Linked DNA regions of Cricetulus griseus. Each later gene encodes a partner of the first gene's protein in a complex. Links are inferred from orthologs where the notes say so. Each region holds a gene or a part of one and is shown in the gene's direction. Other genes may lie near its edges.

What was found.
Region 2: Iqcd (region 1) and Iqcg share a complex: the UniProt entries of both Homo sapiens proteins name them as parts of the nexin-dynein regulatory complex. The link is inferred for Cricetulus griseus from reciprocal best matches to the Homo sapiens genes DRC10 and DRC9.

The regions. Positions count from the first base shown.
Region 1 is NC_048597.1:100,409,376-100,415,694, forward strand, and holds the start of Iqcd (dynein regulatory complex protein 10), read left to right. Parts: upstream 1-2,791; 5' UTR 2,792-2,819; coding exon 2,820-3,587; intron 3,588-5,746; coding exon 5,747-5,980; intron 5,981-6,319. UniProt on the Homo sapiens protein: Component of the nexin-dynein regulatory complex (N-DRC), a key regulator of ciliary/flagellar motility which maintains the alignment and integrity of the distal axoneme and regulates microtubule sliding in motile axonemes.
Region 2 is NC_048597.1:56,513,427-56,519,062, forward strand, and holds part of Iqcg (dynein regulatory complex protein 9), read left to right. Parts: intron 1-1,816; coding exon 1,817-1,978; intron 1,979-3,399; coding exon 3,400-3,474; intron 3,475-5,636. UniProt on the Homo sapiens protein: Component of the nexin-dynein regulatory complex (N-DRC), a key regulator of ciliary/flagellar motility which maintains the alignment and integrity of the distal axoneme and regulates microtubule sliding in motile axonemes.

The DNA.
Region 1 (6,319 bases):
AGAGAAGGGAGGGTGGGGAGAGACAGAGAGAAAAAGAAAGACAGTATGAGTGTCCCCTTCAAGTGTACGACTCCAGTCACCTAAGAACCTTGTACCAGCCAGGTTAATCCCAGCACTCAGGAGCCAGAGGCAGAAGCAGGAGGATGCCTGTGAGTTCAAGGCCAGCCTGGTCTACATAGTGACTTTCAGGCTAGCCAGGGTTACATAGTAAGACTCTGTCTCAACACTCACCCCCCTCCAAAAAAAAAAAAAAAAAAAAGAAAACCTGAACAACCTCCTCTCCAGGCCCCACCTCTTAAAGAAAGGTCCATCACCTCTGCATGGCCATGGTGCTGTGGGCTGGGGACCAACGCTTTAACACATGAACCTGTGGAGTTATATGCAAACCAGAGCAACTGTCTATGATGCTGCTGGGTTTCCTGGGAAAACCTGGGTGCCTTTACCTGACAAGGACACAGACTTGAGCAGACAGAGGCATCAATGCCACTGTCCCCTTCAGTGATGGCAGCTGGGAACTCAGAGTCCAAGAATGAGTCCTCTGTCCTCCCCTCCACACACTCTTTCTAGGCTTCTCTAGTCACAGTGTGTAACAAGCCCCACAATCCCCTGCTTCTGTTGGCAGACACGTCTTTGGAGAAGATGGTAATAATTAAGCAGGTCCGTGTGGGGACATCAGCAGGGTAAGGAGCATGAGGAAGGGCCAGGCTGAACATGGAGATGGCATTCATACGTGACACTGCGGTGGTCCAGACTCACTCTTCAGTCTCCCTGGGCCTACAGTGTAATATTAGCTGTCGAAGACTCATGTGCTCACAACTTCCATTGAACACAAGGATTCCTGCCTTATGGAAAATGGCACTAGGCCCAACCCCCAGGGGTAACCAGACCCATCGGGGCCACTGCAAGTTCTTGCTACTGCCACTGTGCTACCAAAGCCACGGCAATTTTTGTTTTGTTTTTCGAGACAGGGTCTCACTACGTAGCTCTGGCTGTCCTGGAACTCACTATGTAAACTAGGCTGGCCTCAAACTCAGATTCTCCTGCCTCTGCCTCCTGATTGCTGGGATCAAAGGTATGTGACACTATGATCAGCTTGCCAACAAAATTACTGATTTCTGATGTCACCATTGAGTTTTTTGAGATAGTTGCTCAGACAAACCTCTTACTTTGTAGTAATTATGGATTTGTAGAAAACCTGTCAAGATAATATAGGTTCTCTGCATACTTCATTCAATTCCCGAGATGTTACTTTATAGGTCAGAACTAAGAAAGTAACATTGTCAAACCTGGTGTGACTGCAGTGCCTGTACTCCTCACATTTGGGGATGGAGGCCAGAGTTTAAGGACATCCTCTCCCACATAGCAAGCTCCATGACAGCCTGGGCTACAGGAGGCTCTGCCTCAAACAAAGAAACACATAGGTAAGACGCTATTGATACAATACTGCTAACCAAACCTTGAACTTGGTGGCTTCCCAGCTGTTACTCTGATGCCCTTCTCTGTTTCAGAACCTAGTCTGGACAGTGGTTCTCAACCTTCCTGACACTGTGACCCTTTAGTACAGTTCCTCATGCTGTGGTGACCCCAACCATAAAATTATTTGTTGCTACTTCATAGCTGTAATTTTGCTACTGTTATGAATCATAATGTAAATATCTAATATTCATGATACCTGATGGGGGTCACGACCCACATGTTGAGAACCACTGGTCCAGGACATGGACTGATTGGTCTCAAAAAACAAGTAAGAGATGGATAAATGAAGATACCCAATGGTGACCTCTAGCCTGCATATGGACATGTAATATGTGTGCTCACATGCACACAGATGCATACACTACACACACATATACATCCCCACACACATGCTCATCCACACATACATGCATATCTACACACACCAACACTCTATTCACATGGATACTACAGGGGCATACACACCTACACACTTACACACTTACACCCAAACACACACATTCCTGACATGTGCTGGTGCGCTGTTACCCACCCTGCTTGCTTTTGCCCCATTCAGGACATTCAGGACATTCACTGTCATTCAGGACAGAGCTGACCTGTTCAGCTCTGTCTGTGTCTTGTCCTATTAATGTCCTACTCTATGACCTTTCTACTGTGTCCATGTCCCATCCTACTCTGTGACCTGTGGTGCCTTGTCCCAGCCTCCTCTGTGTGCTGGGCTGTGACCCAGGCTCTTCAGCTGATTTCCCACTGGTTTGGGGCAACATGGGGAGGAAATGCAAGCAGGGGCAGAGCACATTTTCCACGCTCTGCTTTGCTTGTACAGCACTTCCAGCTACAGCTTCAACTCCTCTGGGGTCTGCTGCCCCTGGTCCCCCCAACTCACATCTTCTCCCTGTGTGACTTCTTGCTGTTGACACTGCTAGGTGACCTCCGCTGCCTAAAGCTGGCCTCTCTACATTTCTGCCACTTGGGTAACCCCCATATGAAAGTCCTCAGAACAGTGACTGTCTCTTGCCTGGTATATGTGCCCAGGACTCCCCTCCACCCTCAGTCCTCTTACTCCAATGGCTCAGTCAAGCACCAAGCATCATCACAATGCTAAAAGATAAGGTAACCCCAGCACTTGGGTCAGGGGTAAGGACAGACTAGGCTATAAGAAATCCTATTTCAAAAACAAACAAACAAACAAAAAATCAAATCAAAACAAAAATCCAAAGAGCTAAAAGTAGCTTCCAGGTTCTATGGAGTGGTGTCATGGCCATTATACCTAACAGCCACCCCTTCCTTTGCAGGGTTGCTGACTGAAAAGCCAGGAGAACCTTGAGTTGGCTGACGTCTCAATGCCGGGGTATACAGAGGCAAAGTCAGCCGCTCCAGAGATGGCCTTGGCCTTGGACATCTTCAGCATGCCCCCTTCCTACGATGGCCTGGCCATCCATAGAATCCCACTGAGTACAGACATAATCCCAGTTATGCCAATGAAGACCTTGACCCCATCCAAATCCAAGCTCAACACCATCGAGGCCAAGAGAATCATGACAGTCCTGGATGAGGCCATACAAAAAGTGGGGCTGGTGACCCTGATGTCCTACGTGGAGTCCCACCCAGATGCTCTGGAGGGAGTGTTCCCTGAAGACTTGATGAGGGCCATCAGAGAACATCTGGACATCGGCCAGGTCTTTCTGGAGGGTGCCAGCAACCTGCAGGAGAAACAAAAACTGCTGGAGGAAAAGAAGGCGGATGCTGAGGAAGCCTGGTGCCGGGACCGCCTAATGTCTATAGAACTATACAAGGCCAACCTGTGGCCACTGGCACACCAGTTCCGAGATTCCACCAAGGCCATCCTGAGGCTCCTGTCCAGCCAATCCCAAATCATCACACTGCTGCAGGCACGTGCACCAGGCAGAAGCCGGGGGGCGCAGCGCCTCCTTGAGGCCCTGATAGAGCTTCGGGGCTACCTCTTTGAAAAGCTCCTCACCAGCCCTATGGAAGTAAGGGAGAAGAACCAATTCATACAGGACATCAACCGGAGGAATGAAAGGAACCAAGAAGTCATTGATGCTCTCCAGGCCGAGCTGGCGGAGGTGCTAAAGAATAAGGAGGCAGAGGTATACTTCCCAGCATCCCTCAGGTTCCGGGATGAACTGCGTGGGCCAAGCCCTTTGGGACTTGGCTTTTCTTTCGTTGATTCAAATAGCTTCCTCATCATTTACTCTGTAGAGATTGTCCTGAGCATTTTACTAGGAGGTTATATCATTAAATAAATCCAGCCTCAAGAGCTCACAGGACATTAAGGAATTAGTTGACAGCTGTTCGGAAGTGTGAAGGGTAAGGACAGGGCACCATGGAGGGATGATACGAGAGAACTGAACTCGGGCCGGAAGGACCAGGGACACTGCCACTAAGACAAGAAGGATCAAGAAAGGGGGACTGCACCGGGCATTGGTGGCACACGCCATTAATCCCAGCACTCGGGAGGCAGAGGCAGGTGGATCTCTGTGAGTTTGAGACCAGCCTGGTCTACAAGAGCTAGTTCCAGGACACCTCCAAAGCCACAGAGAAACCCTGTCTCGAAAAAAAACAAAAACAAAAACAAAAAAAAGAAAGGGGGACTGAGCCAGACAAGTGACTGTCATGTCAGTCCTGGATGAGGCCATACAAAAAGTGGGGCTGGTGACCCTGATGTCCTACGTGGAGTCCCACCCAGATGCTCTGGGGCTGGCAAGGTGTCTTTGTTACCAGCTAAGTGAGTTCTTCATCTTACATAGGAGAGACATCAGATACATGGGGGAGGGGTTGTAGAGACGGCTTAGTGGTTAAAAGTGCATACTGTTCCTTTGAGGGACTCACAGGGACTCAATGCACAGCCATGGCTGGTCTGGAATGCCGAAGACTAGGCTGGCCTTCAACTCATAAAGATCTCCCTGCCTGTGCCTCCTGAGTGTTGGGATTAAAGGCCTGTGCCATCACACCTGGTATATACCGCTCTAGCAGAGCAGAAGAGTTCAGTTCCCAGCACCTATGTCCAGCAACTCACAAACACCTGTAGCTCCAGCTCCCAGGGATGTCGCCCTGCATTCATGTGTACAATTTCTCTCTCTCTCTCTCTCTCTCTCTCTCTCTCTCTCTCTCTCTCTCTCTCTCTCTCTCTCTGTCTCTCTCTCTCTCTCTCTCTCTCTCACACACACACACAATTTTTAAAATTATATTCAATCTTAAAAGAAATCTGAAATCCAAGAATATTGAAACAAAAGAAAAGTGAAAGCCTATTATGAAAAGAAGTACAGGGTTGGCTAGTGATGGAGCACACCTTTAATCCCAGCATCCTAGAGGCATAGGCAGGTGGATCTCTGTGAGTTCGAGGCCATCCTGGTCTACAGAGAGAATTCCAGGGCAGTCAGGGCATGGCTGAGTGGGTAAAAAGCTTTCTGTACAAGCTGGGGAATCTGAGTTTGAGCCTTGGAGCCCACTTTTTTTTTTTTTTTAAGCTGGTATGATGGTGTACCTATGTAATCTCAGCATTGGGGAGGTAGGGATGGGGGACCCCTGAGACCAGGGGCTAGCCAGCCTAACCTAAGCCACAAGCTCCAGGCCAATGAGAGAGGTGGATGACTGGTGAGGGTGCACATACATGCAAGCACATATCCAGAGAGTTACAGCAGGCTACTCTACAGCTGTGAACACAGAGCTGTGTTTCATCTTATGGACAGGTTTGAATATTTGAACATTCAGAGGTTCTATAGGAAGCTTAAAGTGTACCTGTATGCACATTGCTACCAACCCTGCCCCCACCCACAGTTGACTAGTTAGTATATTATAGTAAGTCCCAGGGTTAGTTACAATTCAGATCTGTCACATCTTGATGGCTGTGGGTCCTCAGCAGCTGCTGTCTTCCTGCAGCCTGCTTTCTTTTTGGCTCTGTATCTCATCTCCAAAGGGTCACACAATCCACACACTGGGCTTAGTGGGCCAGTTGTCTCCACATGACTCTGCTGTTAGTGTGGAAGCAGCCAAAAACAGTATCAGAACAAAAGGGCTGTGTCTCAATTTATTGACAGGTATGGCTGTTTGGATCTGGCTTATGAGCCTTTGTTTGCTGATCCCTTTCCTAGGTGGAGGGGAGCATGTGGTCCCAGACCTGAGATGAGCATAAGCCTGGCTGGTTCCAAACCCTAAGGGAGGGCACAACCAAAGGCCAGCTGCCCCTGTGATTGTGGGAGTCTGTGTGGCAATTAATGGGGCCCCATCCTCATTCGTGCTGGCCTAGGTGGAGAAGGAGAACTTTGTGATCCAAGAGCTGAAGAACCACCTGCACCAGGTGTTCAAGTTCTCAGAGATCAGCCTCCTTCGAACGAAGCAGGAGGCAGAGAAGCAGCAGAAGGTGGATTACCGGGCCTCCCAGGCTCGGCTGGCCAAGATACAGCAAGAGATCCTGACGCTTCGCTCGCAGTACCACAACCTGGTCATGGAGAATCGGGAGGTGGAGCAGGCCCTGAGGAAGGTGCCTTGAGGTCTCGGGGTAGAGAAGGCAGGGCAGGGCTCATCCAGGAGTGGGGAAGCCCAAGACATGTGGTATCTCCTGGGATGTGTGTGTGGGGGCACACAGGTGGGAGCGAGGCTCCTCCCTCACCACCATCTCAAAGTTCGCCCATGGAGGAGGCATGTCTAGCTTCATTCTTTTCTATGGCAGAATCACATTCTGTTTTATGCACAGGGGAAATTTCTTCTTCTTCTTTTTTTTTTTTTTTTTTTTTTGAGACGGGGTTTCTCTATGTAGCCCTGGCTGTCTTGGAACTCAATCTGTAGACAGGCTGGCCTTGAACTCACAGAGATCCACCCA
Region 2 (5,636 bases), about 44 Mb from region 1:
TGCTGTGTCTGTGCAGTGTGTGCTGTCCCTCTGCAGTGTGTGCTGTGTCTGTGCAGTGTGTCCTGTCCCTCTGCAGTGTGTGCTATCCCTCTGCAGTGTGTGCTGTCCCTCTGCAGTGTGTGCTGTCCCTCTGCAGTGTGTGCTGTCCCTCTGCAGTGTGTGCTGTCCCTCTGCAGTGTGTGCTGTCCCTCTGCAGTGTGTGCTGTCCCTCTGCAGTGTGTGCTGTCCCTCTGCAGTGTGTGCTGTGTCTGTGCAGTGTGTGCTGTCCCTCTGCAGTGTGTGCTGTGTCTGTGCAGTGTGTGCTGCGTCTGTGCAGTGTGTGCTGTGTCTGTGCAGTGTGTGCTGTGTCTCTGCAGTGTGTGCTGTGTCTGTGCAGGAATGTGATGTGCCTCGGGTGGCATGTTTTGCTTTGTGGGAATATATGAAAATGGACCTGAACTTCAGTTCAATTGCTGGAATAATACTTCAGTCATGATTTTAGCATCTAATGCCAGCTAAGATTTTATATTTTACTCTGTATTTCACACTGTTGATAAAATGTTTTTGTGAGATGTGTTTGCAAAAGATGTTTATGTAAAGCAGGAAGGAAAATAATTCAGAAGCTTAAGGCAATAGCATTAAATCCAGATGACTTAGGCTTCTTCTTTTTTACAAAATTTATAAAAAGTTCCATAATGTTGCATGATATAATGTAAACCTTCTGTTTAGATGTTGTGTTAATGGAGGTCACCTTTACTGTGTCTCCCAGAGCCTATCTTTCTCCCACACCACCCACACAATTTAGATAAGTCCACACACTTTCCTTTCACAACACCCTTCCACTAAACTGGAACCCTTATGGGACTATGGCTGGTTAGGTCTCCATTGTTCACTACTGCCTAGCTCAGTGTCTGCTACTGAAGAATTTTCTTTTTTAAAAAGTTAGTGAGTTTTGAGACCTTAAAATTGTGAAGCATGCCAGGTGGTGGTGCACAGCTTTAATCCTAGCACTTGGAAGGCAGAGGCATTTCTCTGTGAATTCAAGGCCAGCCTGGTCTACAGAGTGAGTTACAGGACAGCCCAGGGATGTTACACAGAGAAATTGTCTCAAAAAACAAACTAACATGCAAACAAAGATGATGTCCCTCGACTCCTCACATTTATTTAGTATTGTGTGTGTGGAGCGAATGTATGGAGGTCAGAGGACAACTTGAGGAAGTCAATTCTCTCGCTCTCTATCATGTGGGTCCCAGGGATCAAACTCAGATCATAAGGTTTGGTGGCAGGGATCCACTGAGCCTTATGGCCAGCCCCTCTGCCCTTTTTAGAGACAAGGTCTTCTGTAGTCCAGGCTGGCTTTTAGCAGCTAAGAATGTAGCTGAGGATGACGTTGAACTCCCGAACTTTCTGCCTTTGTTTTCTCAGGGCTGGGATTATAGGTATGAACCACTACACGCAGCTTCATTTTCTTTCCTCCTTTTGAGACAGTCTCAATGTGTAGCTCTGGCTGGTCTGGAACTTGCTATGTAAGTAGGCTGGCCTCCAATGCACAAAACCTACCCGCCTGTGCCTCCAGAGTGCTGGGATTAAAGATGTGTTCCACCATGCATTGCTTTTCTTTTTAATGAGATAAATTCTCACTCCGTGGTCCTCATTGGTCTGGAATCTGTGACAAGCCTTATGCTCTGTCTCCTGGTTCTGTGATTCATTTTCATTCACAATATCGTGATGACTAAGTAGTTTCCCTCAGTGTGCTGGGAGAAAGCCAGCCCCACTTGCCGGTTGCCTTAGAAGCACAATAAAATTTTAGTTCAGAAATCCGGTCTCATCTCTGCAGAATGGGAATGAATACATTGCTCACCTCAAGGACCAGTTACAAGAGATGAAGGCCAAAACCAACCTGGAGAATCTTTATATGAAAAGAAACACTGAGCTGCAGATTTCCCAGACCCAGAAGAAATGTAGCAGAGCAGAGGAACACCTGCTGGAGGAGATTGAGGTAACCTGTGCTACACTAGGCTATCTGGGGATGGAGCTTGGTGACAGCATATGCCAGGTTTTGAGTCCACCTTCCAGTGTCAACAAACATCAAAACAAAAACCTGGGTAGATGACTTGATGTCATGTGAGCTGTCACTTTAAAAAAAGTGATTGATTTATCTTGGGCAGGAGAGATGGATCAGCTGTTAAGAGTACGTGCACTTCTTAGTTGGGCGGTGGCACACACCTTTACTCTCAGCACCTGGGAGGCAGAGGCAGGCAGACTTCTGTGAGTTCAAGGCCAGCCTGGTCTACAGAGTGAGTTCTAGGACCTCTAGGGCTACACAGAGAAACCCTGTCTAGAATAACAAACAAACCAGAGTACATGCATTTCTTCCAGAAGTCCTGCTTTCCGTCCCCAGCACCCATGTTGGGAGGTTCACAACCTCCTGTAACTCCAGCTCCATATTTTAATATTATGTATAGGTGTGTGCTTGTTAGTGCCCAGGAAGGCTAGAGGCATTGGGCCCCATGGGCCTGGAGTTATAGGTGGTTTTGAGCCATCCAACCTGGGGGGTAGAACTAAACTTAGGTCCTCTAACAAGAGCAGTGCACTCTTTTAACTGCTGGGCTCTCTCCTGCCTCAGCCGGTGAAAGAGGAAGAAGATGATTAAGGTTTCCCTTCATGGCCAGTGCAGCCTTGAGGTCAAACATAAAAGATTAAATGGGGCATTAAATATTTGTGATTAGAGATTTTAATGATTATACCTCCTGCTTCTTTTTAAAAATTTATTATGTGTACAGTGTTCTGCCTGCATGTATGCCTGCAGGCCAGAAGAGGGCACTAGATCTCATTATAGATGGTTGTGAGCCACCATATGTTTGCTGGGTCCTCTGGAAGTGCAGCCTTTGCTCCAGCCACTCCTGCTTCTTTCCATGACTTGGAGAAGGCTGCTGTGAAAGCTTACTTCCCAGGTGCTGCTCTTGGACCACCCCTAACCCCTGATTTTTTGTTGTTTTGTTATTTTCTCCTCATCCTTCTTCTTCCTCCTCCGTCATTGGTTTCTGTAGTTCAGGCTGGTCTCAAATTCACTCTGTCGTGATGGGCTGGCCTTAAATTGGTCTGCCTGCCTCAGCCTCCAGAATGCTGGGATTCCAGGTGTGGGCTGTCTTGAATTCTATACTTTCCTTCTCTGGGATGAGACTCTTGTACCCTTTGAAGCATTGTTTTTAGATGACAGGGTTGTGACGGCATTTTCTGGGGCCCTTGTGTGTGTCTAAGGAGGAGCCAGCCTGTGACTCTGCATGGTTTGTGGAGTACAAATGGCTAGATAGCTCTTTGGGGAGTCCTGGCATTCCTGGGGTTCTTGCTGCATGTGTTGCCTGGGAACTGCTGACCTCAGCCTTGCTGAGGAGAGAGCCTGTGTTTGACGCATTACAGAAACTGAGGATGAAAACTGAAGAAGAGAACCGAGTTCACACGGAGATCGAATTGTTCCTTAAGAAAGAGCAGCAGGTGAGTCTCCTGGACATTTGACTAAACTAGAATCAAAATAGAGATGTCCTAGAGGTTAAGAACACTGACTGCTTTTGCAGAGGACCTGGGTTCAGTTCCCAGCTCCTACATGTCAGCTCACAGTTGCAATTCCAGGCCCAGGGGATTCAGTGCCCTCTCCTGGTCTTCAAGGGCACTGGGTGTACATGGTATGCATGCACGTGAGCGCGCGCGCACACACATACACACACACACACAGGCAAAACAGCCATACCCATAAGGTAAAGAGATCATTTTTTAAAAATTCCACTCCAGGCAGAGGTGGTGTACACCTTTAATCCCAGTACTTGGGAAGTACAGGCAGGCAGATCTCTGAGTTTGAGGCCAGCTTGGTCTACAAAGGGAGTTCCAGGACAGCAAGGGCTGTTACACAGAGGAAAACCTGTCTTGAAACTGCAAAAAAAAAAAAAAAAATCTATCCATCTATCTATCTATCTATCTATCTATCTATCTATCTAACAAACCAAAACCCTTCCTGGTGTACATAACAAGTACTAGGGTGGAAAAGGCTCCATAGTAAGACTGTTCAAACAAAAAATTCCACTTATAAAATTCCAAGGAAAGCAATGGTTTTGATGTAAGGACAGTGTCTCACTATGTAGTCTGGTTGGCCCACAGTTCATCATGTAGACTAGGATTCAGTACCTCTGCCTCCCAAGTGCTGATATTAAAGGCAGATGCCACCTTTTTTTAAATCTGCAACTTTTTAAAATCTTGTAATGGGCTGAAGAGCTGCCTCAGTAGGTAAAATGCTTGCTGTGTAAGCATTAGGACCTGAGTTAGACCTCAGCACTCACAGGAAATACAGGCTTGGTGCTGCACACTTGTAATCCCAGATTTTGTATGCTAATGCAGTGCCATTTGCATAAAGTTGATCTCAAGATAGGATACTGGAAAGGGGGAGGTAAATAAAAAGTTTTACTTTAATAAAAACAAAAAACAACAGAATATAGACAATGATTAATTCTACACCTATGAGAAAGAAATCAGAATCTCAGTGTGTGTAAGACATGTAAAGGAAGCCAGCCGTGGAGCTGAAGAGATGACACAGGCGACAGACATCATCATCTGCTCTCCAGAGGGCCGGAATTCTGCTCCCAGCACCTGCTCTCATTCTCCCTTGCCAACGTCCATCTTAGTAACTTTCCAAGACTGAATCTCGTCTATCATATTGGAAAATTAGGTTGGCTTGACATCTTAGAATCATATCTGTTTTCACTGATAATCTTCAATACTCCCCCTCCCCCAGACAGGGTCTCATATATCCCAGGCTGGACTAGAACTTGCTATGTAGCTAATGATGGCCTTGAACTTCTGATCCTCTTCTACTTTGGTGTGGGCAACCATGTCTACTTTTATGTGTTACTGGCTGTCAAACCCAGGGCTTTGTGCATGCTAGACCAGCACCCCAACTGAGTATACCCCCAGCCCACATTTCAGTCTTTTGACCAGTGTTCAGTGTTTTTAATAAAAATGAGAGCTGATGCCATTGCTTAGCTCTCAGAATTTCTACCTGCTCCTCTGCTACCTCCCCTTGTTTTTTTTTACCGTGGCTTTGAGCATTGATTCATTTCTGAAGAGCTCAAGCATCTGTTTTGCAGTGCTGGGTGTCCAGCCCAAGGCCGCAGGTGCAAGGCAAGAGTTACCCTGAGCTGTACCCCAGCCCTTCCTCTTATTTTTGTTGTCATTTTATATATTTTCTCATCTGATTAGTTGATAAATTCATATCTTCTTCTCCAACCCCCCTCAGATCTAACCCCCACTTCCCTACCCACCTAAACTATCCTTAAATAAAAACTCATCAACACAATTCTTACTGCCCATACACTGTTGGCTGTGTGGCATTCTAGTGGAGTGTGGTGACTACCAGGGGCCACACCCTCAAAGATGGACTCTTTCTCTCCCAATAGGGACCACTTTCCATTAGTGTCTTAGCTGGGACAGGACTCCTTACTGACCTCCACCCTCTATTATGGGGTTCTGTCTGGCTTGAGTTATGAATCACAAGCTGTTAGTTCATAGGTGTGCCTCCTATTTTAAAAACTGAGTGGCTTACACACAGAAAAGTATACAAATGTGGAGTGCAGTTTGATGTAGCCACCAACCAGACAAAATGTCAGCAC